4 linked regions of the Oryzias latipes genome follow. The protein of the gene in region 3 purifies or fractionates together with the protein of the main gene of each other region. This does not show direct contact. Links are inferred from orthologs where the notes say so. Each region holds a gene or a part of one and is shown on either strand. Other genes may lie near its edges. The genes, in order: map2k7, akt1, mapk8ip1 and map3k7.

The links.
Region 1: the proteins of mapk8ip1 (region 3) and map2k7 purify together in Homo sapiens (affinity purification with western blotting; 3 studies listed by BioGRID and IntAct, with this or other methods). This does not show direct contact. The link is inferred for Oryzias latipes from reciprocal best matches to the Homo sapiens genes MAPK8IP1 and MAP2K7.
Region 2: the proteins of mapk8ip1 (region 3) and akt1 purify together in Homo sapiens (affinity purification with western blotting; 3 studies listed by BioGRID). This does not show direct contact. The link is inferred for Oryzias latipes from reciprocal best matches to the Homo sapiens genes MAPK8IP1 and AKT1.
Region 4: the proteins of mapk8ip1 (region 3) and map3k7 purify together in Homo sapiens (pull-down; 3 studies listed by BioGRID and IntAct, with this or other methods). This does not show direct contact. The link is inferred for Oryzias latipes from reciprocal best matches to the Homo sapiens genes MAPK8IP1 and MAP3K7.

What each region holds. Positions count from the first base shown.
Region 1 is NC_019859.2:2,775,546-2,783,558, forward strand, and holds the start of map2k7 (dual specificity mitogen-activated protein kinase kinase 7), read left to right. Parts: upstream 1-3,937; 5' UTR 3,938-3,982; coding exon 3,983-4,106; intron 4,107-5,790; coding exon 5,791-5,838; intron 5,839-8,013. Other genes in the region: pkn1 (serine/threonine-protein kinase N1), read left to right, coding at 743-946. UniProt on the Homo sapiens protein: Dual specificity protein kinase which acts as an essential component of the MAP kinase signal transduction pathway. Essential component of the stress-activated protein kinase/c-Jun N-terminal kinase (SAP/JNK) signaling pathway.
Region 2 is NC_019880.2:14,664,320-14,672,337, forward strand, and holds the start of akt1 (RAC-alpha serine/threonine-protein kinase), read left to right. Parts: upstream 1-3,903; 5' UTR 3,904-4,156; intron 4,157-8,018. UniProt on the Homo sapiens protein: AKT1 is one of 3 closely related serine/threonine-protein kinases (AKT1, AKT2 and AKT3) called the AKT kinase, and which regulate many processes including metabolism, proliferation, cell survival, growth and angiogenesis.
Region 3 is NC_019861.2:7,595,780-7,603,892, reverse strand, and holds the start of mapk8ip1 (C-Jun-amino-terminal kinase-interacting protein 1), read left to right. Parts: upstream 1-3,893; 5' UTR 3,894-3,978; coding exon 3,979-4,055; intron 4,056-8,113. UniProt on the Homo sapiens protein: The JNK-interacting protein (JIP) group of scaffold proteins selectively mediates JNK signaling by aggregating specific components of the MAPK cascade to form a functional JNK signaling module. Required for JNK activation in response to excitotoxic stress.
Region 4 is NC_019882.2:20,579,592-20,586,934, reverse strand, and holds part of map3k7 (mitogen-activated protein kinase kinase kinase 7), read left to right. Parts: intron 1-327; coding exon 328-466; intron 467-1,890; coding exon 1,891-2,015; intron 2,016-2,632; coding exon 2,633-2,761; intron 2,762-2,846; coding exon 2,847-2,977; intron 2,978-3,325; coding exon 3,326-3,407; intron 3,408-4,027; coding exon 4,028-4,149; intron 4,150-4,227; coding exon 4,228-4,369; intron 4,370-4,593; coding exon 4,594-4,674; intron 4,675-6,198; coding exon 6,199-6,269; intron 6,270-6,379; coding exon 6,380-6,470; intron 6,471-7,150; coding exon 7,151-7,212; intron 7,213-7,291; coding exon 7,292-7,343. UniProt on the Homo sapiens protein: Serine/threonine kinase which acts as an essential component of the MAP kinase signal transduction pathway. Plays an important role in the cascades of cellular responses evoked by changes in the environment.

The sequences.
Region 1 (8,013 bases), on a different chromosome or scaffold from region 3:
TCTATTGAAGACATTATGATAAGAATGACGGTACCACGATTTAGCTACAGCTAAATCTGTTTTCTGAAAAGTCCCGCCCCTTTAACTGTCTCCACCAATCATTCTTGGAGGCTTAATCACATGTCATCAGTCTGACCAATCAGAAGTGGTTAAAGTCTCCACTTCCTTGTTCTGATTCTGCTCGTAAAGTCTCTCAGTTCCAACAAAAATACCAGCTAAAGCTCGTCTTTAGCGGTGTAGCTTTCCACAGAATCCGGTGTCGGACCGTGGAACAAGTGAACAAAACAATGAAGATCAGAGAAGAGAGTCTGCCTGCGTTTGGCGGATTATTGCACTACATCTCCCATAATACATTGGGTTAAAGTGACAACGTCTCAGCGCACAATGAGTCCTTTGTTAAACGTATTGAAACAACAACGAACACATCAAACAGTTTTTAAATCTTCTAACTTAACTTTTATTACATCTTTTAGAAAAAACAGCTGCAACTTCCAGCTTTTTCTGCCACAATTATCATAAAAATGCACGTGAGACTGTGGAGGGACTGTAGATCAATACAAACTGAGTTTTTCCTTTTTTTTTGGATGCTGGTCTGCCGCGGGATTTTTGTCAAGGTTAGAGTGTGCCGTGGCTCAAAAGAGGTTGAAAAACACTGATCTAGACTCATTGTAAAAAATAAAGATTTCATGGAAAGTAACCTGGACTTTGGGAGCTAATGCAGCGCCACCTCCTCTTCCTCCAGAGCGTGGACTGGGAGGCGCTGCTGCAGAGGAAGGTGCCCCCTCCTTTTGTTCCCTCCATCCGCGGCAAAGAAGACGTGAGCAACTTCGACGAAGAGTTCACCACCGAGCCGCCGACGCTCACGCCGCCGCGCGAGGCCCGCTCGCTCACGCGCAAAGACCAGGACTGCTTCCGGGACTTCGACTACGTCTCTGACCTCTGTTAGGTGACCCGACGGCCTCTCCTGGTCGCCCGGCGTCCGCCGCCTGTAAACCTACACTGTGAATGAAGGCGGCGTCCGTGTGTGTCTGGGGGGCGGGGTCACCTGTGCGCCTGGCAGAGGTCATTTCTCTCAGTGGCCTCTCATACCAATGCCTTACGTTTTTACCCGTATTTATTCCTTTTCGTTCTGTGTCCCTCCGTCTGCAGCAGGGGGGGTAAAAGGGGGGGGGGCACACAGAGGGCAGCCTTTTATTTAAAGCTATATCAAAATGATGAAGTGAATGATGTAACTGTGTGTGGGGGGGGAGGGGTTAAAACCACTCCACAAACTGTTTTATACACTTGTGCTGCTTGGATTTTACGACAGCGGCGTGCAAAAAAGGGGGTTTGTGTTTTAAATTAGGTTTTTTTTTCATTAAATGAGGAGAAATGAGCTCAGCAGAAGTCTGCACCCAACACTAAAGTCGGCGAGTCTGAGACGCCGTTTTCCTGTCGGGTCTGCGTCGGCAGAACCCGGGTTCCGGTTCCCGGCGGCGATCCGGAAAGGCGAAAGCCAAACAAACCTCAGCTGTATTTCTGCAGAAAGTCGGAGCGCACAGCAGAGTTTTACGTGTGAATCATGAGACGAAAAGAATGAGAAACGTCGGAAACAGGATTAGGTTTTCTAGTGAGGGAGCCGGTTTTACTTATCTGGTGTACGACGATGCAAAAGCGTTTAATGTATGAGCTGACTTCTTTTATAAAGAAATTCTACCGTGACTTTTCTGGTCTTTTTCTTTTTGCCTCTGAGTGTTTATTATTATGGGAAATAGAAGTGATGAAATGTGAATTAAGCAAACAGTTTGGAGTAATTTTAAGAAAAAGGACTGTAAAATAAAGACTAGAAGTTAGCCCAACATTCTGGGAGGTTTTCTTTTTAAATTAACAAAAAATAAATGAATAGGTTCAGAAAAAAGATTTAGTTTAAGAAAAAAATTCTAGTCACTAAGACGTGTTTTCTCAAACTAAGATGATTTTGCTTTTGAAAAACTTTCTTGATATAATCATTTTTCCTTTAACACAGACATTAAGAGATTTTTTTTATTTTCTTAAGATTCTGCTTTTGCAGTGTAGAAGTTAAACAGTTAAAACTCTAAATCACTTTTCTAGTTTCTTTAACATCTAATCTTCAAATGTTCTGCCATGAAAATCCACCTAAAGGTTCAAAAAGTTCATATCAATAATTCTACCAGGATTGTTTATACATTAAAATTTCAAATAAATATTAATTTCATTTAAAAATGCAGTTCTTTGTGCAAAAATATAATCTCAGAGTACTTTTGTAGTTTAAAATACTTTACTTGATATAAGACCAACTTTACCAGTAGCTGATGAAATCTTAAATATCTTTTAAAATTTTCATATTTGTAAGCCAAAGCTTAATTTTTGATGGTGAGTGGTTATTATGAGGAAGAATCTGGCTCAGTTAGAGGAAACTCGACTCCAAAAACAGCAAAACTGCATTTATCAGGAGCAGGACAGTAAATAAATATTCATCACGTGAAAGTTTAAAGACAAATTCATCTTAATGTGGGATTCTAGTAATTTTCTAAAATATCTAGAAATATTGATAGTTGGACTGTTGTAGTACTTAAAATAGAAATTAAATCTGAGGGAAACGTGTATAAATACAGCTTTACTTTAAGGACAAAAGGCTCTTTATTTCTCAGCAAGAAGGCGTTGGTTCAAATCCCGGCTGGGTGGCCTGAAACAGAATCACCAATGAGGGACGTTTGCATGTTCTCGTGTGTAAGATCATAAATATCATTCCTATTATGACTTTCCTTTTTAATTTTTTATTCATTAAATTACAAAATAATTGAGTTCAACTTTTTTAAACGTAGATTTGAGCTTAAAAGATTGTATTTTTATCATTTGCCTGGTAATGAATACTTTATACTGTAATTATATGACAGTCTAGTATTTTTTATTCTGTCTTAGTATAAAAAATAAAATGAGTTTGTCATTTGTGTGGCAAAATGACTCTAAATTTATTGATAAAAGTGAAAAACCACTAGAGAAAATGCAGGCGTGTGCACCCACAGGAACGCGGGGGGGGGGGGCCCCTTTTGCCACGTAATAAAGAAATTCCCTGTTTTTTCTTTTTTTGTACTAACGTGAATACATTTCTATTAGAAAATCTCCTGATGTTCTGATATGTGACAGAATATGAATAATAACTGCAGAATCCTCCCAGCAACAGTTTTTGATAACACTAAGTATTGTAAATAGTTTCAGCATTCTGGCGATAGAAGTTGTTGAAAATCTGATTTTAAAATATTACCATCTGGATTAAACTTGATTCATGATTATTATGTCTGCAGCACAATGTGCCAACAGAAAGAGCCTCCAGTGTTTTATTGTTTTGACGTCTTCCAAGTCTGTGATAAAGTGAACAAACTCATGTTGACAATAATTTGTTTACATAACAGAAATGACAATTGTTTCACTTTCACCCACAGTAGCAGAATTCTTAAATCTATTGGTAGTTTATTTTAAAATTTGACTTAGTTTCAGTTTTGATTAAAGGACAAAATCTGAGCTTTTGCTGCCCTTTTCCAACTTCCATGTGCTCCTGATTCCCAGTCAAATTTGGCTGTTTTTATGCTTCACATAAAGGTCGTAAGCCATCCCTTTACCTGAAATTGTGTTGTCAGGAAGGTGTATTATTATCAACATTTTTATTATATTTACATTTTTTTATTTCTTTGGAACAAAAAAAGAATCCTTGAATAATGTCTATGCACAAACAGTGAAAACTCCACAATTAGAAAAACTTTTTCCGTTGGCTAACAGACAGAAAATCTCTAAAACTGGGTAGAAAACGAGAAAAGAGTACAGAGCAAGAATAGTGCCGCGCGGAGTGCTGCACGTGCGCGGAGGCTGCAGCGTGTGTAGGTTCGCTGGTCTCATTTGTACGTCGCTGGCCCCGCCCCCCGCCCCGCCCTGCCCGCCGGAGATTGGAGTCTGCTGGGAACTCCATGGTGCTAAATTTTTCAAGATGTCGTCGCTGGAACAGAGGCTCTCGAGGATCGAGGAGAAGCTAAAGCAGGAAAACGAAGAGGCCCGTCGGAGAATTGACTTGAGCATCGACATGAGTCCGCAGCGATCACGCCCGAGGCCAAGTGAGTGTCCAGCGGGGGTCACTGGGGTTCGGTGACGGCCAGAACAGCGAGGGGAAGATCGGAGAGAAGGGGTGGGGTGGGGTGGGGTGTATGAGGGCTGTTATGCTACTCCATGCTAAAAGCTACATGCTATCATGCTAACTACGTAAACAAACATGAACAAGAATAATGATTTATTATCGTCAAAGCGCTTCTTCAACAATCAAGGCAGCTTCTGTTTTGGGTTCTTCACTGGGAGTGTCGGTGACGGCGGTGTGAAGTATAACCGCGGTAACCTTGTACCGCAGTCCGTTTTGTTTCTGTCCTGTCAAACATGCTAAGCTAACGGGCTAGCTCCGCATCCATCGCTAGGCCTGTAAAGTATTCAACGTTGTTTACAGCTTTTCACGCGAATGTGCAGAAATGCCACTCATGCCGTAGTTTCATTGTTCTTAAAAAACGTCCTTTTATACTAGTTTTTATTTCTAAAAAGCTTGTTTTCGATGCCATTTTATGTGTTCCTAAGCAGGCTAATTCGATAAGCTAGCTGCGTCAAACAGACGTCAAGTTTGATTTACTCGCAGCTGAACGGTTACACGTAAAGCTGCCGTACTTTGTTTTTCCTTTAGTCTTTTTATATTAAAATAATTAAAGCACAAATAGCAGACGATTATCAAAACTAAAGACAAGAAGAAAATGATAATAATCTTCACTTCGTACATACTATCAGTCAAAACAGTCAGTTGTTTCCGCTCAAGAAAAATAATTATTGACAAAAATGGGAAGCCTCTTGGATAATAAGAGGTGAAACGTCTTCCAACTTTAAAAACTAAGTCCAGATGACAGCCCCTAAACCTACTACTATAAATAAAAAGAAGGGTTATCTCCAGCTTCTATTTTTTTAAAGAACTCCCTTTGACTTCATTTGTTTTTGTAGGGGTTCTATCTTAAGATCTAAACCTTTAAAATTCTGTAAATAAGTTTGAGAATAATAAACCTCAACCTTAAGTTTTTCACTCTGTTGTGACACAGAAACAGAATTTATTTGAAAATTTTCTTCTGAAGAATGAAGGACATCTGAACGTGTTCTTCGGACATATTTGCTGATTTTAGTACTGATCGTCAGTCGTTGTTATTTATGTTTCAAAGTTTTGTTCATACATTTCTCATCCTTTTTCTCCATGCTAGTGAGCCTCGATGCATAGTGGTTTTTCGCACAGACCTCTGGTAAATTCCTCTGAAAAAATGGCCTAAATAGTGCACCACCCGGCAGGGGGGGTGAATTCTGAAAAGGCCTTGGAGCGAAGCTCCAGTTGAGATGTTTTGGTTTTGGCCAACAGTGGAAAAAGTTGCACAATATACTTTCATTTGACATTATTTACGTTAAAATGGCATGATCTGTCACTACTGTGGCTCTGTGGGATAACCTGGACTTTTTGTTTTGTCTTATGGAGTTGCTTGGCTCTTCGTGTTAATATTTAATTTCCTTTTTTAATTCTATTTCTTTCTAATTGGGATCAGAAACATTGGTAGTGTTGTGCCCATGAAGGTTTTGTGCCCGTGTCTTCTCATTGTTTTGCAAAAAAGAAAAAAAGCGAAAAGCTGAAGTGTGTTTTATTTTCATGAGAACATGATGAAATGTGGAAGTGTTTGCTGTTTCCTGTAATGTGCGTGTGTGTATGTATATTTTCTTTCCTCTGTCTAGTCATCGTGATCCAGCTCAGTCCTGCTCCAGCCCCCTCCCAGCGTGCAGGTATCATTCATTCACCTCTGCCACTGCTCCCCACCACCTTCCAGCCCTCCGTTCTCTGCTCCGCTCTCCTCCTCTCCATCACTTCCTCTCCATCTCATTTCAAACATCCAGAGAAACATTCAGCTCAGCCAGGAGCTTTAAAGCTCCTGACTAAATATTTACTTCTTCTTGACATTTTTATGTGCTTTTATTTCTTCTATTTTACTGTGTTTAGAACGATGGGATGGGATAAAACCTTTTTATTGTTAATTTGTCAGATAAAAAAAAAAACTTTTCTCCACTTTATCAGAAAATATTTCCCCCCAACATGTCACAGCTCATCAAAAGGTTGCACAAACTCATGCATCCAGTACTTTTCCACCGCTGACATTTCAACCCTGCAGTTCTTCATCCTCCACTTTCTCACCCTTCTGTGCGTCTGTGCCAGTGGCAGGGCAGTGTTGGTTCGCATTGATGTGTTTGTGTGCTTCAGCACACGTGGAGGACCATTAACATTTGTTCTGCTGGAGGCAGAGAACCCCCTTCTTGTGCATGTGGCTTTGTTTTGTTTTTTTGCACGGCGTCGTGGAATGGGTTGTTTTTGTTTGAGCGTCTCTAATCCAGCATCCCCACCGTTCTGTCTGCAGGAGCGGGGAAACCTCCGCCTGGTTTCCCTTTCTCGTCTGTTTTCCTAACGGCACAGCTGAATGTTTTCCTTCCTGGTTCAGTGTTTCTGACTTACAGCTACGTCTTGCTATGCAGTTTTTTTTTATCTACCGTATCTCTCTCACTTTGGACTGTTTTGATGTTTTTTTTCCCCCCTCATCTCCTGGCTCCTCCCCTTTTTTGCAGTGGCGCTGTGTGAGCAGGAGGCGGGCCTGCTAGCATCTGTGTTGGTCCGTCCGTTCCTCCTCCCATCTGTTTAGAGGCTGTCAGAACTTTGGAGATGAAAATCTGTGCCGACGGCCGCTGGCGTCTGCCCGTCACACTAACCCCCCCCGCTTCCTTTCACCAACCATTTTCCCCGAACAGGCCGACCCGTCCGGGCCGCTCCTGGACCCAAACACTGGTGCTCCTGGCAGAGCCCTATCTCACTCGTGCAGAAAAACTCTGAGCAGCAGGAAGTGACTGCTAGCAGACATTTAGTCTAGTCATACCTCTAGTATGCAGTGAGACCGCGTCACTGAAGGGTGTAAACACAGATTCCACTGGACATGATCATTATTTGTGTTTGTGTGGCTGCTATGGGGGTAACCATTGATCGATGAACTGTAGATGACTTCCCGTTGAGGCTTAATGTGTATTTTAAGAAGCTCAGCCTGCCTGCATGGCTTTAACGGGATAGGAAGTCCTTACACGGCAGAAGGCTTTTGCTTCTTCGATGTGGACGTACCAAAAAATTCAAACGAGATAAAAAAAGAAGATACGTTTGGCTAAAACAGTAGTTTTTTAGGTAATTTAGCTGAAAGCAAAGGTCAGAGTAGCTGTTCTGGGCGGAGTTGTGCCGTCGTCCAGCGGTGCTGGAGCCATCTTTAGGTGTAGCGTTTGCAGCCTCTTTAGGACTCTAGAAGATCTATAGCAGTGGTCCCCAACCTTTTTCAGGCCACAGACCAGTGTTAATGTCAGACAAACATTTCACGGCCGGGCCTATATGAGGCTGAAATGGGCCTTCCGTTTCTTAACTTTTGAGGGTAAAGTTTGTCTTCGTCCTCTGTTAAATTTCTGCAGCTGCTTTAAACTTAATCGTTCACTAGATTTCCTGTAGGAACCATTAAAATGTGAAGAAGATTTTCTCTTCAAAGTTGAAGCTAAAAATCAGACGCCAACTTCAGCCTCGTCCGACTTTTAGGGGAAAAAGGGTCACTACAGCTGGTATTTTCTAAATCTAATAATAAACTTGAATCGACTGAACAACTTTATTAGCAGCAGCAGCATCGCAACATTAGCTGCCAGGTGCTGAGTATTCTGCATTATTATTATTATGGTCTGTGGAAACAACTGTCAGAATTAATTCATATTTGGAGTAAAGCCTCCTGGCTTTTGTCTGGTCGATACAGCTTTCTTTCTGTTTCCTCGCTGGATTATTTCAGCCACAAGAAACTTTCCTATTATATTTATGTTGTGTTGACTCTCCCAGCCCGGGGGTTTCAGTTTAGCGCTCGTAGCAGCCGCTTTATGAAGGTGTCAAATGGATTT
Region 2 (8,018 bases), on a different chromosome or scaffold from region 3:
TTCACAGTCAGTGATTATGATGTCCGATAAAAAGCTGGAATCTTGACTCGGAGGCGAGGCAGGCTGGAGGGTTCGGCGGCAGTAACCGGATGATTTGGCTTGAACAGGATACGAGGATTGGACGAGGAGCGTAGACAGACGACAGTGACCAGAGGAGCACTTATGGTGATCTTTCCTTTAGGTGAGTCGAAGGATAAGATTTAACGAGAGGTAAGCAGGGATGAAACGAGAACATGAGTCGACCAGACTCATGTTCTCTCTGTGACAGAAACAGAGGTGGTGAGTACCCTAAGGAGACTTTGAAGGGAGACATCCCCATGGCAGTAGAGGGGTGAGTGTTGTGGGCATACTCTACCCACACCAGGTATTTGAACCAGTCAGCATTGTTCTGAGCAGCCAGACACCTGAGTGCCGCGTCCAACTCTTGGTTCGCCCTCTCCACTTGGCCGTTAGACTGTGGGTGATACCCTGACGAGAGACTGACAGGGCGGAACAGAAGGTTTCCACACCTGTGAAATAAACTGAGGTCCATGGTCCGACACAATGTCACTGGGAATGCCGTGATGGCGAAAAACTTGGTTAACCAAGATGTTGGCGGTTTCAGTAGCGGAGGGGAGCTGAGGAAGAGGGATGAATTGTACGGCTTTGGAGAAACGGTCAATGACTGTGAGGATTACCATATTGCCTTGGGATGGTGGTAGTCCAGTCGCAAAATCCACAGCGATGTGGGGCCAGGGACGACTGGGAGCAGGAAGGGGCAACAAATGTCCAGAAGGTGGAGAGTTGGAGGCCTTGGAGCGAGCACAGGTGGTACAGGCTGCAATGTATTCGTGGACATCTTTCTCCAAGGAGGGCCAAAAAAAAAAGTCTCTTGAGTAGACCAATAGTCCCCTCAATGACAGGCAATCTGGGATGCATGTCCCCAGGTGAGTACTTCTGACCCAAGAGAATCGGGAACAAACAAAGTTCCAGGAGGGTATGGTGCATGATTGGGTCTCTCACCTTGGGCTTGTTGGACCTTGGTTTCTATGTCCCAGGTGGGACTGCCCACAAAACAGGAGGTAGGGATGATGGTAGACTCTGTGGTGGATCCTGTGGTGTTGCATTTTCTGGAGAGCGCATCTGGCTTGACATTGCGGCTTCCAGGACTGTAGGTAATGGTAAAATTAAAACGATCGAAGAACAGGCACCAGTGGGCCTGACGGGAATTCAATCGTTTAGCACTTCGTAGATTAGCAAGATTTTTATGGTCTGTCCAAACTAAACGGTTGTTCTGCCCCCTCCAGCCAGTGACGGCATTCTTCTAGTGCGAGCTTTATAGCCAACAGTTCACGGTTCCCGACATCATAATTTTACTCAGCGGGGTTGAGTTTGCGGGAATAGAAGGCACATGGTTTGAGTTTTCCAGATGAACCCTCAGGTTGAGAGAGTACGGCCCCAACTCCGGAATCAGAGGAGTCGACCTCGACGTTGAATTGTTTCTGGACGTCAGGTTGAATGAGTATAGGGGCGGAGACAAAAAGTTCCTTGAGTTTAGTAAAGGCAGTGTCAGCTGCCGGAGTCCAAACGTATGGTCTATTGACAGAGGTGAGCTCAGTGAGGGGTGCTGCAATGCTGCTGTAATTACGAATAAATCGCCTATAGAAGTTGGCGAAGCCCAGGAACAGTTGTAATTTCTTTCGTGTCTCGGGGATCTCCCAAATGGTATGGGCTTCGATTTTGGCTGGGTCTAGTCGGATGTTACCAGCCTCAATAATATAACCCAAAAAGGGAACGGTGGAGACATGAAACTTACATTTTTCTGATTTAACAAATAATTGATTTTCTCATAACCTTTCCAAATGAGATGGACATGGTGTTTGTGTTGTGTTTGATTGGTAGAGTAGATGAGATTATCATCTAAGTAAACGAATACAAATCTTTTGAGGAAGTCACGGAGAACATTGTTTACAAGCCTTTGGAATACTGCGGGGGTGTTAGTGAGTCCGAAAGGCATGACGAGGTATTCGTAGTGGACCAAAGGTGTATTAAAGCCAGTTTTCCATTTGTCGCCTTCTCGGTTGCGAACCAGATGATAGGCATTATGGAGATCTAACTTGGAAAAAAATACGTGCCTCTTTGACTGAATCGAAAAAGGAATCAATGAGTGGAAGTGAATACTTGTCTTTTACTGTTATTTGGTTTAACTCACGATAGTCAATGCAGGGTCTTAAGAATTTGTCTTCTCCACGAAGAAGAAACCTGCACCGACCGGAGAGGATGTGGGACGGATGTGACCCAAGGAGAGAACTTGCTGGATATAATTCTCCATGGATATTTTTTCAGGACCTGACAGATTGAATAATTTTCCTTTAGGGAGGGGTGCGCCGTTAAGAAGTTCGATAGCGCAGTCATACGGCCTGTGGAGTGGCAAGGCGCTAGCTTTGGTCTTACAAAATACCGATTTAAGATCATGTTAGCAAGAAGGTACTTCAGACAAATCTATGTTTTCTTCAGAATCAGGTTTGGATGTAATGGTGGACGGAATAGCAGAATGAAGGCAATTAGTCATACAAAAGGTACTCCAGTTGGAAATGCGGAGAGTAAACCAGTCAATATGAGGGTTATGAAGTTGGAGCAAGGAGCACCCCAGAATTATAAGGGTCTGAGGAAATTGAGTAAAAAAAAAATCTATGATATTCTCTATGGTTACCGGAGGTGAGAATGAGAATAAGTTTGGAACGATTCGTGATCCGGGAAAGTTGTTGACCACCTAACCCGGCAGCGTTGGAGAGTCGAGTGGCCCGGTGGGTAACGTGAGTTGTTTAAGGAGATGCTGATCGATGAGGCTGTGTTCAGCGCCAGAGTCAATAAGAGCCCTATATTCGTGAATGAAAATTGGGGAGAGATTCTACAGGAACAAAAATAAATTTATTTTCTTTGGAGTTTTCAGAATTATCCCCCCGTGGCCAGTCATCTAACAGGGGGTACTGGAGTTTAAACGGATGGTGCATTGTGATACTAAGTGACCAGAGTTCCCACAATAAAAGCATAACCCCTCTTTTAGAATGATAATAATATTGAAAAAGTGTCAAAAAATGTATACTGTATGTAATAAAAGTAAATACTTATGTGTAGTGCATGAAAATAAGGGGCATAAATAAAATGTACCTTTTTTTATATATTTTACTGGAAAGATCAAGTTTTTTCCACACCAAGCCTTGCATATTTATCATTCTTGACATTTAAAGTCTTTACTGATTTATACGTATTTTAACAAAAAACACATTATTTGTTCCAACCAGCTTTATATTTGTTTAATCGTCCTATCCAACTGCTTTATATTTGCTATAAAAAATAAAAATAAAAAACAAACACACACACACACAAAATTGAGACAAAAACTTATTTATTTGGTGACATTCATGCATTTATTTTTGATTCACTTTTTCCAACGTGTGCTTTTTTCATGTTTATTCTGTGACAAAGACTCTCAGCATCTTCCTCTCAGCCTCCTTCCTCCTCATCCTATTTTCTTTTGACAATCATCCTTCAAATTCTGCACTTTCACTTCTGCCCTGGACCTGTTGTTTTCTCTGAGTGATCATACCAGCAAAGATTACAGCCACAGCAAATTAACAAAAATGAATCACCACTGACTTCCTACAGTAAATCAATCTTGAACAGAATCTCATGTTCCATGAAGTGAATCAAGTCATTCATTGCAGGAAGGACCCCTTCAAACATTAGCGGGACCTCTGGGGGTCCAAACACCCGCTTCACCACCAGATAGAACACAGAGGAGTTCATCAAGTGCATCCAGACCTCGCAGACCCGCTCCATTAAAAAAAAAAAAAATCATTTCTCCCAAACGGGACAGCAGAGATCCAACGGCTCGTCTTGTGGAGCTGATAAAAGACCAGCGCTAGGACCCGGGAGAGCCGGGCCGCCACAGAGGCATTGCAGACAGCGCGTTTGGGAGGTGTAGTGGAAGAAAGGCAAGAGAAACGGAGTAAATGAGAGACTTCTGTGCACATTGTTGAAGGACTTACCAACTCAAAATACCGCCGAAACGGCCCACTGTAATGAGACGGACACGCTGTTGAGTTCCCGCACAGGTAAACGGCCGCGTTTTCCGTCGCGTGGTTAAACTGCAAGAGGCCGACAGCCAGACAGGGTAGGTCCCCATTGTACTTACATGGGATGCGGTTATTCTCACCCAAGCTGCCCTGCTAGGCCCCATATCCTTTTTTTATCCATTGCGAAGTGAAAACCCCCGAAATGAGACACTTTTATGGCTCTTTTTTGTCGCCGTAGAATCGCCGCGTTCCAGTTTAGGGCTTATGAACTCGTTGTGGTTTTGCACCAACCGCAGAAAGACACTTTTTTCAGACGCTAATCATTCATTTTTCGTTTCTTTGTGAAGACTCACGGAAAATATTGACGTAATTGGGCCTTAAAGAAATAAAAGAATAAATAAAAAAAGTTGAGTCCAAACTAAATGCTCAATAATAGACAGAGCAGCTCATTCATTGTTATCTATTAGCACTTTGTTTACTGCTTCTTCTTCTTGAGCTCAGAAATGCTGCCACACATTTCAGCTTCAGCTATTAAAGGTTTGTTTCTATCACTGTCAACAAATCTTTGCTGGGAATTGTCACCCTGCACTCTTGAAAACGTGTCCTTTCAGTCATTTTATGTTTTTTGGCCTCTGGCTTTCGGACACCAGGGAGGTCTCAAGGAGAGGCCTCAACTGTTATTTTCATGTTTTCCTCTCCAGTAATCAGTTCAATGACATAATGCTTGTTTTTATGGTTTCTACTGCCCTCACTGTCATTATTCCACCTACAGCGATGACTGTTACTAAAAGCATCCCATTTAGCCAAAGGTAGTTTATTTTCTTTTCTTTTTTTTCCTCCCCAGCAGTCTTATAGATGTGGAGGTGCTGCACATGGGAACAGGACAGCCTTCATGGAAGTGTGAAATCATGTTTGACTTCCGTCTCTGGAAGTTTCCAGAACATTGTCCCCAGGCGGGCTGTTCTCTTGAGTGTCAAAGTTGTTTTGTTGGTCATGAGATTGCATTGCCTCAGTTTGTGTACACAAGGGGACGCGACATGTGACCCCCGGAGAGGACGCAACAAGCTGGCGTGGTGATGCAGCCAGTGACTGCTGGGCTCTCCCTGTTTTATTTAGAAAATACCAGCAGCCTCCCACCCAATGCCCTCGCAGCTTCATTGACGCAAATGTGCCACCGGTTGCATGCTGGATCAGAGGGTTGTTGCTTGAAACGTTTGGTTTCTGCAAAAGAGACTCCCAGATGGTCCAGGCTGTTGCGCAGGTGAGTCAGGTTGCCTTCAAATTGGCTTCTCCATCGTTTGATGGAAAAAACAAAAAAACAAAAACAATCACATCAGAGAAGAGCTCAAAGTTGAGCTCTGAGCTGCATCTGTACACTTCTGCACAGCCTGTCTGGACAGCCTGAAAGTGAAAACAGTTCTGGGAGTCATAAAGGGTTTGCTGTTCATGTCATCACAGGATTAAGCTTCTTGCTTGTCAAGATTGCTCCTACTGTGGTTTGGTATTTAGTAACAACTACTCCACTTAGCCTTAATATTATTATTATTGGTGATGTTATTTTTTTAAGGAACCTAAAAGAGGAACGCTGTACGGTGTAGTAGATCACACCAATGCCTGTTCCTATTGTGGCATTTAAAGCACACCAAGCATTGCCTCAATGTTTTCTTTTGCCAGGATCAGGGGAGAATGTTTGATCTCGTCTTTCTTGTAATGATTTCAAAAAAGAGTACTGTTCTACCTGTGTAACCACAAACCAGCTGCCAGGTTTTGCTTACTAAAACGGAAACAGAAAAATGAGGAAAACCAGATTTGAATCTATTGATTTGGAGTGAATTTGGTGGTGTCTTGATGACTGCTTGTTTTTTCTTTTTTGCTTCCTGCCTCTAACACATGGGACGGTTGTCTCTGTCCTCCCAGTCACAAGCAAACTATTTGACATCTTTTGCTTCATAGCACTGATTAGTATTGAAAGGGGTCCCCCCCCCCCCCCCCCCTCTCCCTGCAAAGGTTTAGATAGAAAAATGAATGATTGAAAGCGTCTCTGACATCAGGGCAGCCAGGCAGGCGGTGGCCCACCGGACTGCAGATCATGTGACCCGCTGTCAGGGTACTGGGTTCATTCAGTGGCTGCTGGCTGCAGCCCAGCTTTTCCACACAGCAGAGCCGCAGCAGCGACAGGTCGCTCCCGGTTTAAAAACAGCCAGATCTCTGTTGTGGCTCCAGAGTCAGACTTGTGTGCAGTGTCGCCATTTTGGTTTGTGCGACGGCTCCCGGTCTGTATGAAGGTATGAAAGCACGCATGCCGGTGTCACAGAGTCCGCCTTAAGATGCTGACGTGATCCCAACTGCTAGAGTGATTAACTGCGCTCTGTCTGTGTGCTTTTTACAAATCCACGTGCGCAGTGCTTCACACGGTGGCTGTGTGGGACAACACCAGCCACTGTGCAGTAAACACAAGCGGCGGCTTCAAGAGACTTCGAAGGTTTAGTCAATGATGGAAGTGAGAATGAAGCTGCAATAACAGACGCGCTCATCAGATATTAAATGACAGATGTTATCAAGCCCCGGGGCAGTTCTGATATGACTCGTAGGCTGTCGAGTCACATTCACTTCCTGTTGATGTCAAATAAGCTGGATGAGGTTAGCCAGGCAGATCTCTTTCGATGTGAGCAGGAAAAACAAAATTGATTCCCATCAATAGTCAGAAATTGCCTTGTGCAGGACATTACATTTGTGTGTGCAGTCATGGCAATTGAACCTTGTTGATGTCTCTTGCCTGATTCAATGGTGTCTTTATGAAATAAAGAAGGGGTAAAGGACCAAAAGGTCAAGTGTTTTGGAAGGGTTGGCCTTCAGCTCGTTCAAAGTGTGTTCTGTGGGTAACAGATAAGTGTGATGGAACTTAGCCTTTTGTGTCAGCTGACTGCAGTTTCACCATGTCTGTTAACACTCTTAGTTTTCCTTTAAGTGTCCTTCAGTCTGAATGCTGTACTCTGAACACAAAACCACTCTTATTCTCTGAATGGGATGCTTTTCGGTTCCTTATGAGTACTAATGACGACCGACTTTTATAGTAAATGTTTAGTTTTCAATTAGGTCATGTGATTCTTTGAAAGGTGATGGCATTCCAATGTGAATTTTGGTAAATCTGATCAACTGATCGTTGACCTGACTCCAGATTTTGAGGCCAACTTCTCTTGTTACATGGGATGAAATAAATCCATCAATTATTTAGCCGAAAATTATATGTCTTATTGATGCCATCTTGATGACACCATAATTCATAAATTGCCATGCTTACTGAATAATAGTAAATATCAGTTTGTAGAACAGATCTTGAGTTTTTTATTGCTGTTTTTAATGAAACTTTAACTGGTTTAAATGTAAAGACTTGGGTGAGCTTATGGCTCCTTGTTGTGATTTTATCTCACAAGATGATTTGGTATAAGACGGGACTGTGTTTAAAAATCAGTCTTCCTTTAATCTTTAATATCAATTCATCAAATAAATATAGCAAATTTCTTTTAAACTAGTTTCTTTGATAGTTTTTGAGGTTTAACAGCTCTTTTGGTGTAAAAATATACATTTTCAAAGGTATACTTTTGCCCACCCTACTTTTTTTAATACATATTCCAACAAAATTGGTTTTGGAATACAAATGACTAAAGATTATGTATTTGATCAGCTTAAATCCTGAATTTTTGAATAGAAATAAAATCATTTTTTGTGCATTGGTAGCGTTTGTATCAGAGAAAATGACAATAACGCAACAAAACAATGAGTCGGAGATGAAGGCTTATTACTTTGAAACTTCTTCTTTGACATCAGAAGCCAAAGTGATGTTATATGTAAGCATGACATTTAGTTTAGTGGCAGTTTTGTTCTTCCTGCTATTGTTTTGCTCTGCCATCTTAACGTTGTTAACATTTCCCATGTTTGAAGTTCCCATAGAGGGCTTCA
Region 3 (8,113 bases):
TATTCCACACTCAACTGTCAGCTCTATGGGAACAAAATGAAAGAGTTTGGGAACAACAGCAACTCAGCCATGAAGTGGTAGGCCACATAAACTGACGGAGAGAGGTCAGCGGATGCTGAAGCGCATAGTGCAAAGAGGTTGCCAACTTTCTGCACAGTCAATTGCTACAGAGCTCCAAACTTCATGTGACCTTTAGATTAGCCCAAGTACAGAATGCAGAGAGCTTCATGGAATGGGTTTCCATCAGCGAGCAGCTGCATCCAAGCCACACATGACCAAGTGCAATGCAAAGCGTTGGATGCAGTGGTGTTAAGCACTGATCCCCAACCTTTTTAACGCCACGGACGTCAGACAAAGTTTTCACGGACCGGTCTTTAAGATGCGGCGGACGATTATTGCAGGAACACTACAATGAAGGAGGAATAGAGACGTGACAAAACGAACTCTGAGCTTTTTTTTGACAGGCATGACATTGTACATCGCACAGGTGTCCTCATCCCTTCCCCTTCCCACACTCACGGTGCAAAAAAGAAGTACTGTGTATTAAATGTAGCTTTTTTTTTGGAAGTTGAAGGCTCCGCTTCTGTCTCTTGGCTGGGCGTTTTCCCCTTGGCAAAGAAACTTTCCAAAGACGTTTGTTTTTCCACTCATTTTGCTAACTCCTAGGTTTTATTTTAGCGGTAACGTATCACGTGACCGAGAAGAGTGAATTGTCCTGCGTCAAGAGTGACATAGATGGATGAAACAGAGAATCGGGCAATTTTTTCAAAATAAAACATCTTTCAGATTCTGAAATAAATAGAACGGAAGTAATGTAAATTGTTTATTCTTTCTGTGCGGCCTGGTACCAAATGACCCACGGACCGGTACCGGTCCGCGGCCCGGGGGTTGGGGACCACTGGTGTAAAGCACGCTGAACTCTAGAGCAGTAGAGACGCCATTTTTGGGAGTGATGAATCACGCTTTTCCATCTGGCAATCTGATGGACGAGTCTCGGTTTGGAGGTTGCCAGGAGAACGGTACATTTCCAACTGCATTGTGACAAGTGTGAAATTTGATGGAGGAGGAATTATAGTGTGGGGTTGCTTTACGGGACTTGTCTTGACCCCTTAGTTCCAGTGAAAGGAACCCTGAATGATCCAGAATACTAAAATATTTTGGACAATTCCATGCTCCCAACCTTAAGAGAACAGTTTGGACCCTTCCTCTTCCAACATGACTGTGAACCAGAGCTCACAGCAAGGTCCATAAAGACATGGATGACCGGGCTCTGTCTCTGACTTCATCTCCCTGGGAACCGAAGGCCACAGGCATGCAGTTGTGCGGAAAAAGCTAATTCCTGTGTCTGTGCAAAACAGTATAACTGTGTGTAATTTTCGAATGAACCTTTAGTATGCACATTGAATGTAACCATTACCATTATTATTATTATCTGCTTGCTCTTTGCTGGAGTAAAACATTAAATGATTTTGTTTTTGACTCCTGAGTCTTATTATAAAGTTTGTGGCATGTCTGGAAAACTAACAACATTTCTTTACAGTCCATTTTCAGAAAGTGTGCTGACAGTTTTATTTAAAATAAACTCAAAATTAAACAATGAGTCTGGAACAAAGTATACAGATATTTTTTAGATATTCTAATCACTGCCTCATAGAGCAAATGCTTTCCTTCGCATTTGTCTTTACAGTTGTAGAGTAACAGTCTGTAGTAGTGGTTAATTTTGTGACCTATGTCAGATGAATTGAAGACCTGGATTTAGCAGAAGATAAAACAAAGCACAATATAATATTAGAAGTTGGCACACAATATCGTCCTTTGTTGTTGTAGAGGAGCTGTTTCCCAATTTAAAATGTGTCGGGGTTTTTTCACAGATTGGTGTTTACGTGTTTTCTCGGTTCTTGTCATATTCTGTTTTCAGGTTTAGCATTTTTTCCACTGTCAGTCACAACAGATTCTAGTTGTTATTGTCTACACCTGTTTTTATTTAGTGAATCACCCTCAGTTTTTTTAACCGTGTGTGCTATCCTAGGCACTTTAACATTGGAGGTTGGGTCATCTAGACCCACTAGACCAGGGGTGCTCATTACGTCGATCGCGATCGACCGGTTGAACTTCAAGGACATGAGTGTAGATCGCGTGCCAGAAAATATAAAAAAAATAAAATAAAAAGTACTTCTTAAAAATCCACCAGCCATTCAAAATCCTCACTGAGAAGTACAGGACTTGATTGACATGTAGATTGGCCAATCGGACATCCTCTGATACATACGTCACTGCATATGCTTGTTTAAAAACACTGAGCGCAAACTCGCTGTCATCAGAAAGTCGCTTTCTGCCCCACGGCACGTCAAGTCCCCGGCAGAAGACCACTCCGGACAACCGGAGTGTTTATTGAAGCCGCCCCGCATGTCTCTTCCTGCTATCAGCTCTGCAGTTCTCGCCCGATAAATACGAGCTCATTAAGGAAGCTGTTTTTTACGTGGCATGCGCTTCGTACGGAGCTAGCAGCGCCTTTGAAATGCCATGCTCCCCCCATTGCACGGTTAACAGAGCATGACAAATGATAGCCGCTGCTTTCTGTCTTTGTAATAAAACGCCTAATCTGTTAATACAAAAGTATCTTTGTGTAATCTTACTGTGTAGTTCTTAATCATCAGTATATAAACAACAATGTTCAAATAAACATGTAACTAATAAACATAACTTACAAACAATTACTAATAGTATTTTATATATATATATATATATATATATATATATATATATATATATATATATATATATATATATATATATATATATATATATATATATATATACATACATACATACATATTTTATAGGTAGATCTTCAAGACATTGTCGATTCAAAAGTACCCCTGCACTAGACAGTGCGCTTAACCATTTTTCTTGAATGATTTGTGATCATCACTGGTGTCCATGGATTGCATGAAATCTTTCCACCTTTCTCATGGTAGGAATAACACGTCAATGTAAGGGTGGCGTCATCTAAGATAGCACAAGGATTAATTGTCTTGCTTTTAGTAATTCATTGTCAGATCTTCTGTTAGCCTTTTGTTTCTCCCTTAGTTTATAGTTTTGTCCTGTCTACCTTTATTTATTGAATGTTTATGTTTTTGCTACAAGCCTGACCTATTTTAGGCTTTTCCTCCACTGGGCCCTAAAACAAAGGTATGAAAGAGAATAAAACAAGACCTGAAGAACTTGTGACTCAGTCATTTCTAGAGTTTTCAAAATTATTAATTAATTATTACTTATTCATGAATGAAGAAACAGTAAGGGCAAATAAGGGATTTGGCAGTCTATATACTTAATTTGTGACAGACAGACTTTTAAAAAATCCAAGGCATGCAGCATTTTTATATATATATATATATATATATATATATATATATATATATATATATATATATATATATATATATGTTTAACCGTCCTATGTGAAAAATTCAACATTCAACAATATGGCTTAATTGCAGATATTTTTTCTGCTCTATTTGACTTTCTAACTTGAAGTTTTACTGTCAGATTTATATGTTTTTGGTATTTGTTGTTGGTATACCTACACCTTGCCCTGGGACAACAGTTGTAAATAAGTGTTGCAGCTAACGATGGCACATTTATAAAAATAGTAATGATTAATAATAATTTATTATTATTCATTTCTGACTTTTTTTAAAATAATATTATTATTAAATAAGGTATTGTTATAATTATTATCTATTAATTGGTCTAATAAATATAATACATTAAGTTAACAAAATAACTGGATTGCCTAGTTTAAAATAAAAACAAAAAAAAAAGAAGAAGGGGAAAAAAACGTGTATTCCTAAACACACCAGCGCAGTAGCGATTTATCCCACAGTCTCTGAATGCATCACTCTATCACGGCGTCGCTGCACCTTTCAGGTGTTTGTGCTTGAAGCAGAGTCTGTAGAGACATGACAACTCGCCGGCATGGCGGACAGAGAGAAGAAGAAAAGAGCCCCTGCTTCCGGCCGCAGCGTCCAGGTGAAGCCTTCTGCTAGCCGCAGGTGAGCGAACGAGCGAGCCAGCGGAGGATGGACGAGCTCCACGTCCGTCCGTGGGCGCTGGGGGGACGGCTGTTTGAAGAACAGCCATCCTGAGGGCTGCTGAAGCGGAATGAGTGGAGCTGATGATGCCGGGCTCTGACAACCAAAGTAGATGGTTCAGTGTTTGGGCGTGTCTGCTCTCGGGGGACAGAGCCGGTGGGGGCAGCGTTCAGCCTTCACAGGGCGAATGTCGCAACACGTACTTTTTCTTATCTGCTTCAGCTCCCTTAATCCTTGCAGGCCCGTGAATCAGTAGCTTTTTTTTTTTTAATCACACGTCACATCTTGTTATTGTGCATCATTTGCGTCCATTCTCGTATCACCCCACACTCATATTTTGACAAATTCATAAATCTAATCTGTGAATTTTTCCAGCGTTTTAAACAAGCCCAATTCATTTAAATAAACAGAAGTAGTTTGATGTATTTCAGAGCTACCTGGGAGCTAGAAGTGATGTAAATCTCCATCATTATGAAGCTGATTTGTTTGAGGGTCTGTTTTTTGCATGATTCTTATCTAATGACTTCATCATGTTGGCTTTACCAAATCAAAAGCACTTTAAACATAAAAAGAATGCAGAGAAGGTGGATGTGGGAGCTCCAACCCAAGCTTGCATCAGACAGGAGATCACACAGTTCATCTTAGCATTTAAGAGTAAACCAAATGCAAGTGTTGCAGTGTTGGATTACAAGACGAATGATCACAGATCTAATCCATATTCCCCAATGAGAGATGAAAACAAAGGCACACCCAGTGTACAGCCATTCCTTGTCCTACTAAGCTATACGTACAGACCTGGCATTTGAAGTGCATTCCAAATCGCGCCAATTGCTGTTTATGAATGTGTGTTTTATTCCACGGTGGCGCAGTGGTTAGCGCTCTTGCCTCACAGCAAGAAGGCCCCCGGTTCAAGTCCCGGCTGGGGGACATGAAAAACACAACATCAATGGTCGACCTTTCTGTGTGGAGTTTGCATGTTCTCCCCGTGCATGCGTGGGTTTTCTCCGGGATCTCCGGCTTCCTCCCACCTTCCAAAAACATGCTACATAGGTTGATTGGCAACTCTAAATTGTCCACAGGTCTGAGTGTGAGAGTGAATGGATGTGTGATTGAGGATATTCCACCCTGCGACAGACTGGCGACCAGTCCAGGGTATCCCTTGCCTACGCCCAAGTGGCCGGGATAGGCTCCGGCAACCCCGTGACCCCGAAAGGGAATAAACGGTAAAGAAGATGAATGAATGAATGTTTTATTCCATAGTGTTCACACTGGACAAGCAGGGAGGGGCTTCTTCTTATTTTTCTTCTTTTAACTAGTGCATGTTGGCTACACTTGGAGGAGGCTTTGTGCAAAATGTTAGAACGTTGCAAATCTCAGGAATCTTGGAGTCTAAAAAGAGGAAAAATAAATGACAATGAATTATGAAATGATGAGGTTGTGTAATAAATAGCACACCAAGAGACCTTTTTTAAAAATGTTGGAAAGAATTAGAAACTGTTCACAAGTTTCTACTTTGTATTTGCAAGATGTTTATCCATTAATAGAAATTTGATTTCTTTTCCATTTTTATGTTGGTCTTTACAACAACATTCAAAAGGCACACTCAAAGAAATCATTTCTGGAAAACCTATACTCCGGTTTGGATGGTTTGGCGGTTTGACTTTTGGGCTGGGGATACTGGGACTCTATCTGGCAAAGGGAATCTGCTGCACAGAGCGTAATAAACTTGCCATAGTTAGAAAAATCTTTGATACTGACCAGATCTGTGTTTTCTTTCAGTATTTTTTTTTTCTATTGAGGTTTGAACTTTCAGAGTTTACATAAGAGAGAAAAGTGTGAAAATGTTAATATTTGTCTGAGAAAGTCTATAAAGTGTGTATTGAGAAATTTACAGCCTTAAAACATCAGTAAACCTACTTTGCGGATTAAACCCATAGAATGTGGATACATTTATTGCGTGGGGGACCCGATAAACAAGGGAACACCTTACTTACAATCAGGTCATGGTTTTGAGAAGGCGAAGCTTTTTTAAAAAAAAAGCACAGTTAAAGTTAGGTTTATTCTGAGCAAAGACTTTTGGAACAATCCTCTCAGGACAACAAGAGAAATTGTAGATGTTTAGAAATGCAGAGCAGATGTGTGATTGTTGGCTATTTGCTGACTGAAGCACAGCAGCACAAACAACTTGGACTAAAACTGGTCCTTCTTTAAATGCATCACGATTTAGACACAAACGAGTAAGAATTGATGCAAACAATTTAAATATATACATATTTGTGGAAAGTTGTTTTGCAACTAACTGAAGAGTTATTGCAGTTAATACCATTATTGTCTGAAAATTTGTATTCAGCTAATTACAATCTGTAAAGGTGATAGACGTGTATTTAAATTAGCTTTAGACTCCTTACTATATCACATAATGTTAAGTTCAAGACAATATTGTGTTTTTTCCACCAGCGCTTCAAAATCAGAACCTTAACTTAGAAAACCACATTCTCATAAAAATGAAAACAAATGCTTAGAAATTTCAGTGGACTGATGCCAGAAATTCAACATACCACATATCAGACCAATAATTTCAGACTATAGGAGATCAGAAAACTACTATATCAGTCTGTTTGAGCTATTTGTTTTATAGGTTTTTAAAAAATCTAGTTGTAGGATGAAAAATAATTTTCTTTATATTACAACAATTCCAAATGTTTTCACATTTTTTCTCATATCAAAATTTGTAGAAATTTTAATGTAAAATAAATTCCCACAACTTTTCTGTCAGATAATATTTTATTATTTAATAAACAAAAGTTCTAATTTTTTCATTTCAGTTAGTAGGCATATGAAGACAGTTTTAATGACAATAGTATTTTTTTAATTGAAAATTTAGGAAATTAATTGATGTGATTCAAGCTAACTTTGCTAAAGGGTCTATATCAGGGGTCACCAACCTTTTTGAGACTGAGGGCTATTTAATGGGCATTAAGTGGTATGAAGGGCGCCACAGGACCTGTTTGCTAAAAACCTCCTAGCCCCCCCACACACACACATTTTTGCATGCCCTATTTTTATTTGCTCATTTTACACACAAAAACATGCATGAATTTTCTAGACTCGTATTACGTGGGGGTCAAACTCAGTTGCATAGGGGGCCTAAATCCAAAACACATGGGCAGTGGGAGCGCCAATTCACAAGTTTCAGGTCGTTCAATACTCTGCCATATTTTTCACGATAGCAGAACTAAAGTGCATTAATTACTAATAGCAAGCACTGAATCACCATCCTCTACTATCCAGGCAAGAACTGTTACGCCCGAGTCTTAATTCACTATCCTCTTTCTTAGTAGCAACCACACTGGACATGTCCCAATCTGCTACCTGTGCCCAATGCAAAGCACAACCCCGGTTTGTTGGGAAGGACACTCACATAAATTAGCGGACAATCATATCTGTCCGTTTATTTTGAACACAACCACCACCAGCCAAACAGCATTAACTTTACTTCTGCTCACAGCTCCCTCACTTATGGTGAGCAATTTAACACAACTAAGATTCCCCACTTCCCATGAGTCTTAAAAGCTAACCCCCAGATCCCCACATTATATTGATTTGCTACTGCATATGAGCAGTGCTATTTTTGGAGCATTCCCATTAAATTATATTTAACTTTCCAATCATTTTTTTACATTCTCGCTTTAACTGGGATAATGATCTTTGTGTCTTTTGTGGAAATGATGTAGAAACTGTGGAACATCTTTTCTTTGAATGTTTCATGTAAAAGAGTTATGGTCTTCTTTTCATAATTGGCTCAAATCCAAAAATATCATCATTAACCCTTTAAATTGGAATACAATTTAAATTCGATTACAATTAATTGACAAAAATCTGGACTTTCTGATTAATGTACTGATTGTCATTTCAAAGCATTTTATTCATACTTGTAAATTCTTAAAGGTGAAACCTCACATTAATGGATTACTCAACCATATCAGCCTATTCTCTAAATCTTTACATTACATGAATCA
Region 4 (7,343 bases), on a different chromosome or scaffold from region 3:
GAAACTGAACGGGTGAGCTTGAGGAATTGTTGTTGCTTTTCTAGTCCTCGTGCTGCAATGACATGCTAGCAGTCTGCACCACGCATGCGCCGTGAAAACAAACCGATCAGTGGAAGTGAGGTGGAAACACTCACCAGAATTAACTGGACGGTACAATACCACTCCTTACCGGACCTGACCGTGCTCGGTGGAAACGAGGCTTTTGATGCATTTTGGTCGAATTGTGAGGAACGTTTGCAAAAGTCTGTGGTGACCTTTGACCCAGCCTGGTTCTGCTGGACTCCTGCTGTGTGTACCCGGTGTGGTGACTGTGTTTCTTGTCCACAGTGCTGCATGGTGCTGAACCCCTCCCCTGTTACACTGCCTCCCATGCCATGAGTTGGTGTTTACAGTGCTCCCAGGGCGTGGCCTATCTCCATGGCATGAAACCAAAGGCTCTCATTCACAGGGACCTCAAGCCACCAAAGTACGCTCCTCCTCCTCTTGCTCTTCCTCGCGTCACACACTCCCCCGTCTCCTGCTGTACCTCACTGTACTCCACTGTTTTGTATGTTTTCTCATTACACCTCATCATGACCTTTCACTAGAATTCAGCACCAAAATTTACAGATTTTTACGACTGGAATAAAACTTCAGTTTATCTGCTTCCTATCCTTAAAATGCTGGAATTTTATTGGTTTCAAGTATCAAAAGAGTTTTAAAAATTCCTAATTATTCCAACACAGATCACAAAGTAAGGAGTGTTGTATCAGACAGCCGCTGTAGACGTTGAATATCTTTACTCTCAGTGAGATGATGCCAAAAATGCCAGTAGTTGTCCGTTTTCTTTTATTGTTCTCTTCAGACTACGGCTGACCGAGCAATATTTAATAAGAAAATGTTGAGAATTTGGTCTCTGCAAGTCACTTTGAATCAGTATTAAAAGGGGTTTGTTTTTCTGCAATGTGCACCCCCTCTAGAAAATCTGGTTTTGTTTTCCTTTAATTGTACAGGGGACATAAAAATGTAAACACACCACTATTAGAATATTTATTCTAATTTTTATTCTAAAAAGAAGAAAATTTCACTTGTTGGTCCAGACGATGACATCAACTCATTGACATGTGTCTGGCATAGTGCTCCTCATGGGTGGGGTGGGGTGCAGGGGGGCTTTTTTTTTTTTTTACCTCAGATAGGGATCAAACAAAGGCATGGGCCTTATAATGGCAACAGAATTTGACCCTTTTTTTAGGTAGGTCCTCGTTGGGTTAGACGGGTCATTTCTTCTGGTCCGAAACACGTCTGCTGTCATCAGGAGTCTTCTAAAATATTTCTGTTAAGCACCTGTGTCGTAAGTGTCAGACAGTCATCTAAGTGATCAATATTTTCTATTGACTAGACAAAGTATCGTCACACCATCCAGCCCTGCTGTAGAGTATAAAAGTACTACTTCTGAATAAACTTGGTACTACAAATAAATTACCTAGGCTGAATGTTGGTGGACCTTTAAAAATGATTAGAAAGCCAGTGTTTCTAATCCAGAGTCACCACTGCTGATTCAGATAATCCCAGTGATCCCGTCTTTGATAATCCATTGCAATCTTTTTAGGAGGAGTGACTGATACTCAGTCGTTGTTGGCCTTTGATTTTTGTAACTTAAGCTTTACAACACTACTTCTTCTTCTTTTCGTGCAAGAGTTGTTGCATTTTTTGGTTTCGGCCACCACAACGTGTGCATGAAACGATGTTCCTCTGGAAGCATTGGCTCATTTCACGCTGACGATGTAGAACCTTCTGCTCAGACGAACATTTTTCCTCAGTTATCACAACGGTTCTGCAGATGAGCATTTATCATCTGTTAGCACGTGTTCCGCCGTCTTCCTCACAGCCTCTGTTGGTCCCTGCTTGCAGTCTGCTCCTGGTGGCTGGAGGCACCGTGCTGAAGATCTGTGACTTTGGAACCGCGTGTGACATTCAGACCCACATGACCAACAACAAAGGCAGCGCGGCGTGGATGGCTCCGGAGGTGTTTGAAGGCAAGTGTGGGAGGGGTGGATTCTCCCGGGCCGCCCTCAGTTCTTTCCTCGTTCTCGCACCTGACTTTGCTTTGTCACCCTTCACCTTAATTGCGTCCTAATGTCTCAGCGGAGGCGCATTAATCAGCGACTCCTCACCAGCTGCGGCGCTCTTTTTCTTTATTGATGGTAGTCTACCGAGCGTGGCGAGAAGATGAATGGATTAATGCTGGTCCCTTTATTTCCCCAAGGAAACAACACTTTGTGTTCTAATTCAGCCAGGAGCCTAATGTCTGGCTAAACGAGGAGCTGCGTTCCTGCAGAGGAGGGAAGGAGGGAAGATGAATTAGTGCTTAGTCATTATCTTGTTTTGGGAGGCAAGTTACAAGCCTCCAGTGCAATTAAGCCGCTCGCTGCTGCCCTCTCTGTGAACTCTGAGCTGCTAATTTGCATGGGAGCTCCCAGTGCAGCCGCTTTGAAGGATCTTTTCTGATCTGCTCCTTCATTTTGCAATAAGATACTCGCTAATGAAGCAACACAGGGGCTGTTCCTAGGCAAATATTGCCCCCCCTTCCCTCTGAAGGAGAGATGAAATCAAAGCTCCCCTCTCAGCAGCGGCGTTTCCTCTGCGCTCACAGGCAGCAATTACAGCGAGAAGTGCGACGTCTTCAGCTGGGGCATCATCCTCTGGGAAGTCATCACCCGCAGAAAACCCTTCGACGAGATCGGAGGACCGGCTTTCCGGATCATGTGGGCGGTGCACAACGGTGAGTCTTTCAGAGGCCTCGCCAAGTCCACCAGGAGAGCAGATGAAAGACGTGCCGCCATTTTCAACGTCTCTTCTCCATTCAGGGACCAGACCTCCGTTAATTAAAAACCTCCCCAAGCCCATAGAGAGCCTGATGACTCGCTGCTGGTCCAAAGACCCCTCTCAGCGGCCCTCCATGGAGGAGATCGTGAAGATCATGAGTCATCTAATGAAGGTGATCCATCTGTAAATAAAGGAGTTTTTTACTGATGTTGTGTTTGGAAACAAAAGAAGCTGACAGGACCTGAGGTTCAGTCATTAATCCATCATTTTTTTCTTTTAGTTTTTCCCTTTTCAGTCATAAACTGACACATTAATAACATTTTCAGACCTTTAAAAAAACTTTTAGGTTTTTTTAAATTTTTACTTTAAGGGTTAAATGTGTTCAGAGCTTTTACTCTTTTCAGCTCAACTCAAATTCAAGAAATGAACCTTTGTTGTCAAATCTGAAACGATGACTCATGAAACGTCCAGTTTTGTTGCAGGCTTTTAACCCGATTGTTTCTTTTTAAATTTATTGTAGTATTTCCCAGAATCGGACGTTCCTCTGCAGTACCCGTACCTGTACTCCGATGACGGACAGATCAACTCTGCAACAAGCACAGGTACCAAGCAAAGCAGGTCCACGTGCAGAGCCCTGAGGAGTGCCGAGAACAAACACAGAACAAACGGTTTTGAGCTCTAGATTCAGTGTTTAGGGCTCAGATTAGAAAATGATTTAATTTGATCCAATTCAAATCCATAATCTAATATTGTTTTGTTTGCTTTTGAGTAAATCTTTTGTTTTTAATTATAAGCAACTCTAAACGATACAGCTTTAGACAACGGCTCATAACTCTAGTTTTGTTTTTTGCTGCAGAGCTACATAAAAATTAAAATCCATTAATAAATCATTTCAAATGTCTTTCAAAAATAAAGGTCCATTCAAAACAAATGAATGTTGGGAAATTTACAGCAAACCCTTCTGAGATCTCTGCATTTAGAAAACCAAACCGAACATTTACCATTCTGTTGTTTTTTTCAAAGTGGTCTCTTCTGTTGTGCGAAGAAAAAGTTCATTCTTAGAAAAAGCTTTCCAGACTGTTTCTAACTTCCTGGTTTTGAGGACTGAAGTCTTTTGAGGGATCCTGGAGAACTGCAGAGCTTCTGACTGTCTTTGCTACAGTATTTTCTGAGTTGAGGGCTCTGATGTGAAGGAACCCCCCCCTGTCTGCTGTTTGTCCAGTTTCATATTTGGACTACACCAACACCAGCAACAAAAGTGACGCCAACATGGAGCACAGCGACTCTCAGGGGAGCAACGACACCATCAAAATCACGCCTCAGTTCCCGGCCTTCAAACCAAAGGTGCTGCTCCCTTCCTGTCCTTGAACCCTGATCAGGGGGGGTCGTCAGACAAGTGAGGCTTCTCCTCTTTTCCTGCAGGTAGATCCTCTGAGGTCTTTGCCGTTGTCCAGGGGGGGCAGCGTGGAGAGTCTGCCCGCTCGAACTCTCTGCTTGGGTGACGGCAAGAGGATGAGTGCAGATCTGTCAGAGCTGGAGCCCAAGGCGGCGTTTGCCCCTGCAGGTATGAATACAGAGGGGGAGCGTGACCCCCATGTGCTGCTCTGGATTCAGGTTGTTGTTGTAGCCTCCTGTGCCCCACCCTGACCCTTGGATCTAACCAGCGCAGAAGCAGGGGGGCTGCTTTTGTGTCGCACAGGCTGCATGTGTCTGCGCTCTGCATGTCTGCGGCGACCCCGCCCGTCCGTCTGCATGCTGGCAGCTGTACGTGTGTGTGTGTTTTTGCAGCAGCCACACAGTTTAGGCGAGGCCACCGTAAAACGGCGTCCCACGGAACCATTCTGGACGTCCCCAAGATCGTCGTCACAGGTACCTGTGGACCAGTGGGCCTCCTGGTGATCGGGTGGAGCCTTTTTGGGTTGCTGTGGTGGTTGTAGCTCTGCTGTGCGTCGCTCCATGTGGTGCTAAGTTTCTACCCAGCATTCCCTCTGTCTGTGCTCCTCATGGAGTAGCATGCAGCAGAGTCCTGCTTTGTGTTTCCTCTGGCTTTAATCTGGCAGAAGCAGAACTTAAGCTCCCCATCAGTGCTCAGCTCATCTTCCTCAGATGCTGATGAAGATGACTGCTCTCACTCGTGGCTGCTTTCTGTCATCCTGGAGAAAATCAGTTCCTCACTCCTGAGCTTTGTGTTTGTCCTCATCTTCCAGCGTAGAGGATTTCCTTCCTTCCTTCCTTCTGGTTCACTTTACAGCAGACCTACATGGAGGAGAAAAGCCCACACTGTCACTCAGATTGAGTTCTTTTGCATGAAGTTTCTTCCTAGATCAACTTTTATTTTTAGGAAAATTGAAAGAAAAGCCAGATGATCAAATGTAGACGATGTCTCCAGTGTGACAGACTATGAGGCTGAAAAATGTCCTCCAGTCACAGCCATTGATTTCAAACACATTTCATCTCTTTAGTTGCTGAGATAGAACTTTATTCGGTTTGATGTGGAGAAGCGGGCAGAAAGCTTTTAACGGCTTCATGAGACGCTGAAGCAGAAGAGACCCTGACCCAACTCAAACATTCAGTCTGATCAAACCAGAAATCCTCACTCGGACACAAAAATCTGCAGATTTATCCGCCTTACTGTTGCTTTGGATCGTCTTCCACTGGGAGGACGGGTGGGTACGGGTGCGTCAAACACAAGTATTGTGTACGTCACAGTTCTGTGTTTTGTTTGTCTTCATGGTGTGTGTGATTGTAGAAGACTTGAACCTGGAGATCCGGAGCTCCAGACTCATTTATTCCCATTCTGGCCTCTCATAGCTTAAAATGCTAAAGATTGCCCCCAAAGCGGAGTATCATAGATCGCATATGTGTCACTTTGTGTCACTATATGCTGTTGATTCCAAAACATTCAAATGAAACCAATTTTGGTCTGCAGAGGGGGATGTTTTCTGCATTGATGAGGTAAAAAAGGAGAAGGGAGCAAAGACGGATGCAGTGATGATGGATGAAAAAGGCCAGATGAAGAAGAGGAAACGTGAAAAAGTCTGTTTTCTGCTTCAGCTGGTTCTTCAATCTTCTGCTCCGTCATGTCAGAGGGAGTCTGGAGCTCTGTGGGTCTGCAGTGAGTGCTGTGCAGCTGATTTACTGCCTGAAGGGCTTTCATTGATGCTGATTGTCCATGGAAGCCGTTCTTCTCGGGATGATGTGACCTCTGACCTTAAACGGGTGACTCGGCGCTCGGCAGCATCAGACGGAGAAGGTTGCTGTGCTGCTGATGGACGTGCAGCTTATTCCCCACAAATCTGAATGTTTTATTCCTTAAGAGGCATTTGTAGGACTGGATTTCTGAAGTGGTCTCACCCGTCTGTCCTCATGTTACCCCCCCTTCCCCCCCTACAGCTACGTGTGAGGCTCAGAGGCGTCGTTCTGTGCAGGACCTTCCAGCTATCGTCAACGCCGAGTCCAGTCAGGTAAAGTTTGGCACAGAAGAGGTTTTTTATTTCACACGTTCTTAATGAAAGGATCAGAAATGCTGTCATGCTCAGTTTGAAGCCTCAGCTCTCGCGCTTCCATCCTACAGGGAAGCAGGAACAGCAGCCGCTCGTCCAGTCCCAGGATGATGCCGGCCGACAAACCCAGCAGAGGCTACTTCTCCCCGGATGACCCCACAGGTAAATCAACGCATCCTGCAGCACTCCGGCCCGTCTGCAGATACCAGACTCCATCCAGGCTAACAGGACAAGGCGTGCGGTCATGTGACCCGGGGATTTGTGTCGACTTAGTGGTCGTCATTGGATACCATCGTTGTCCAAATTGAGAATATTAGCTGGATTCAAACATTTGGAGCAGACCTTTTACGCGGGTAAAATGTCCACGTGACCACGCCCCATGTCAGAGGTTTGTGTGTTAAATGTTGACAGATCGTCTTAATCCTCCCACAGATCAGAAAGCAAGATGTTAGTAGGTTTGAATTTCAAACAAATGGGGTCAAGCGTGCGCCACCTAGTGGTGGTATGACAAAGTGCCTATTTCTGTGCACAGGGGTGTGTGTTAGCACTCCCGTCTCACAGCATGAAGGCCTTGGTTCAAATCCCAGCTGGGACCTTTTTGTGTAGAGTTTGCATGTTGTCCACATTCATGGGTGGGTTTTCTCTAGGCCTTCTGCATTCTTCCAGTCCAAAAACATGCTTCATTGTTTACTTGGTGAATCTAACTTGCCAAAGGGATTCAGTGGGTCCTGAAGACGGATGCATTTTTTGAGCTGTGTTGTTTTCCCAGTGGTTTGACCTTTGACCTGGGTGAGATCTCACCAGAATCCAAGGTGCTGAAAGTTGTCCCGCTCTGTTCTCAGACACTAACGGCTCAGACAACTCCATTCCCATGGCCTATCTCACTTTGGATCATCAGCTGCAGGTACGTGACTCTCATCTAAACCTCTGCTCTGAAGTAAGATGCACATTTGTAGCTGAGGCGCTCCGTTGTGTGTTTTCAGCCCCTGGCACCGTGTCCCAACTCTAAAGAGTCCATGGCCGTGTTTGAGCAGC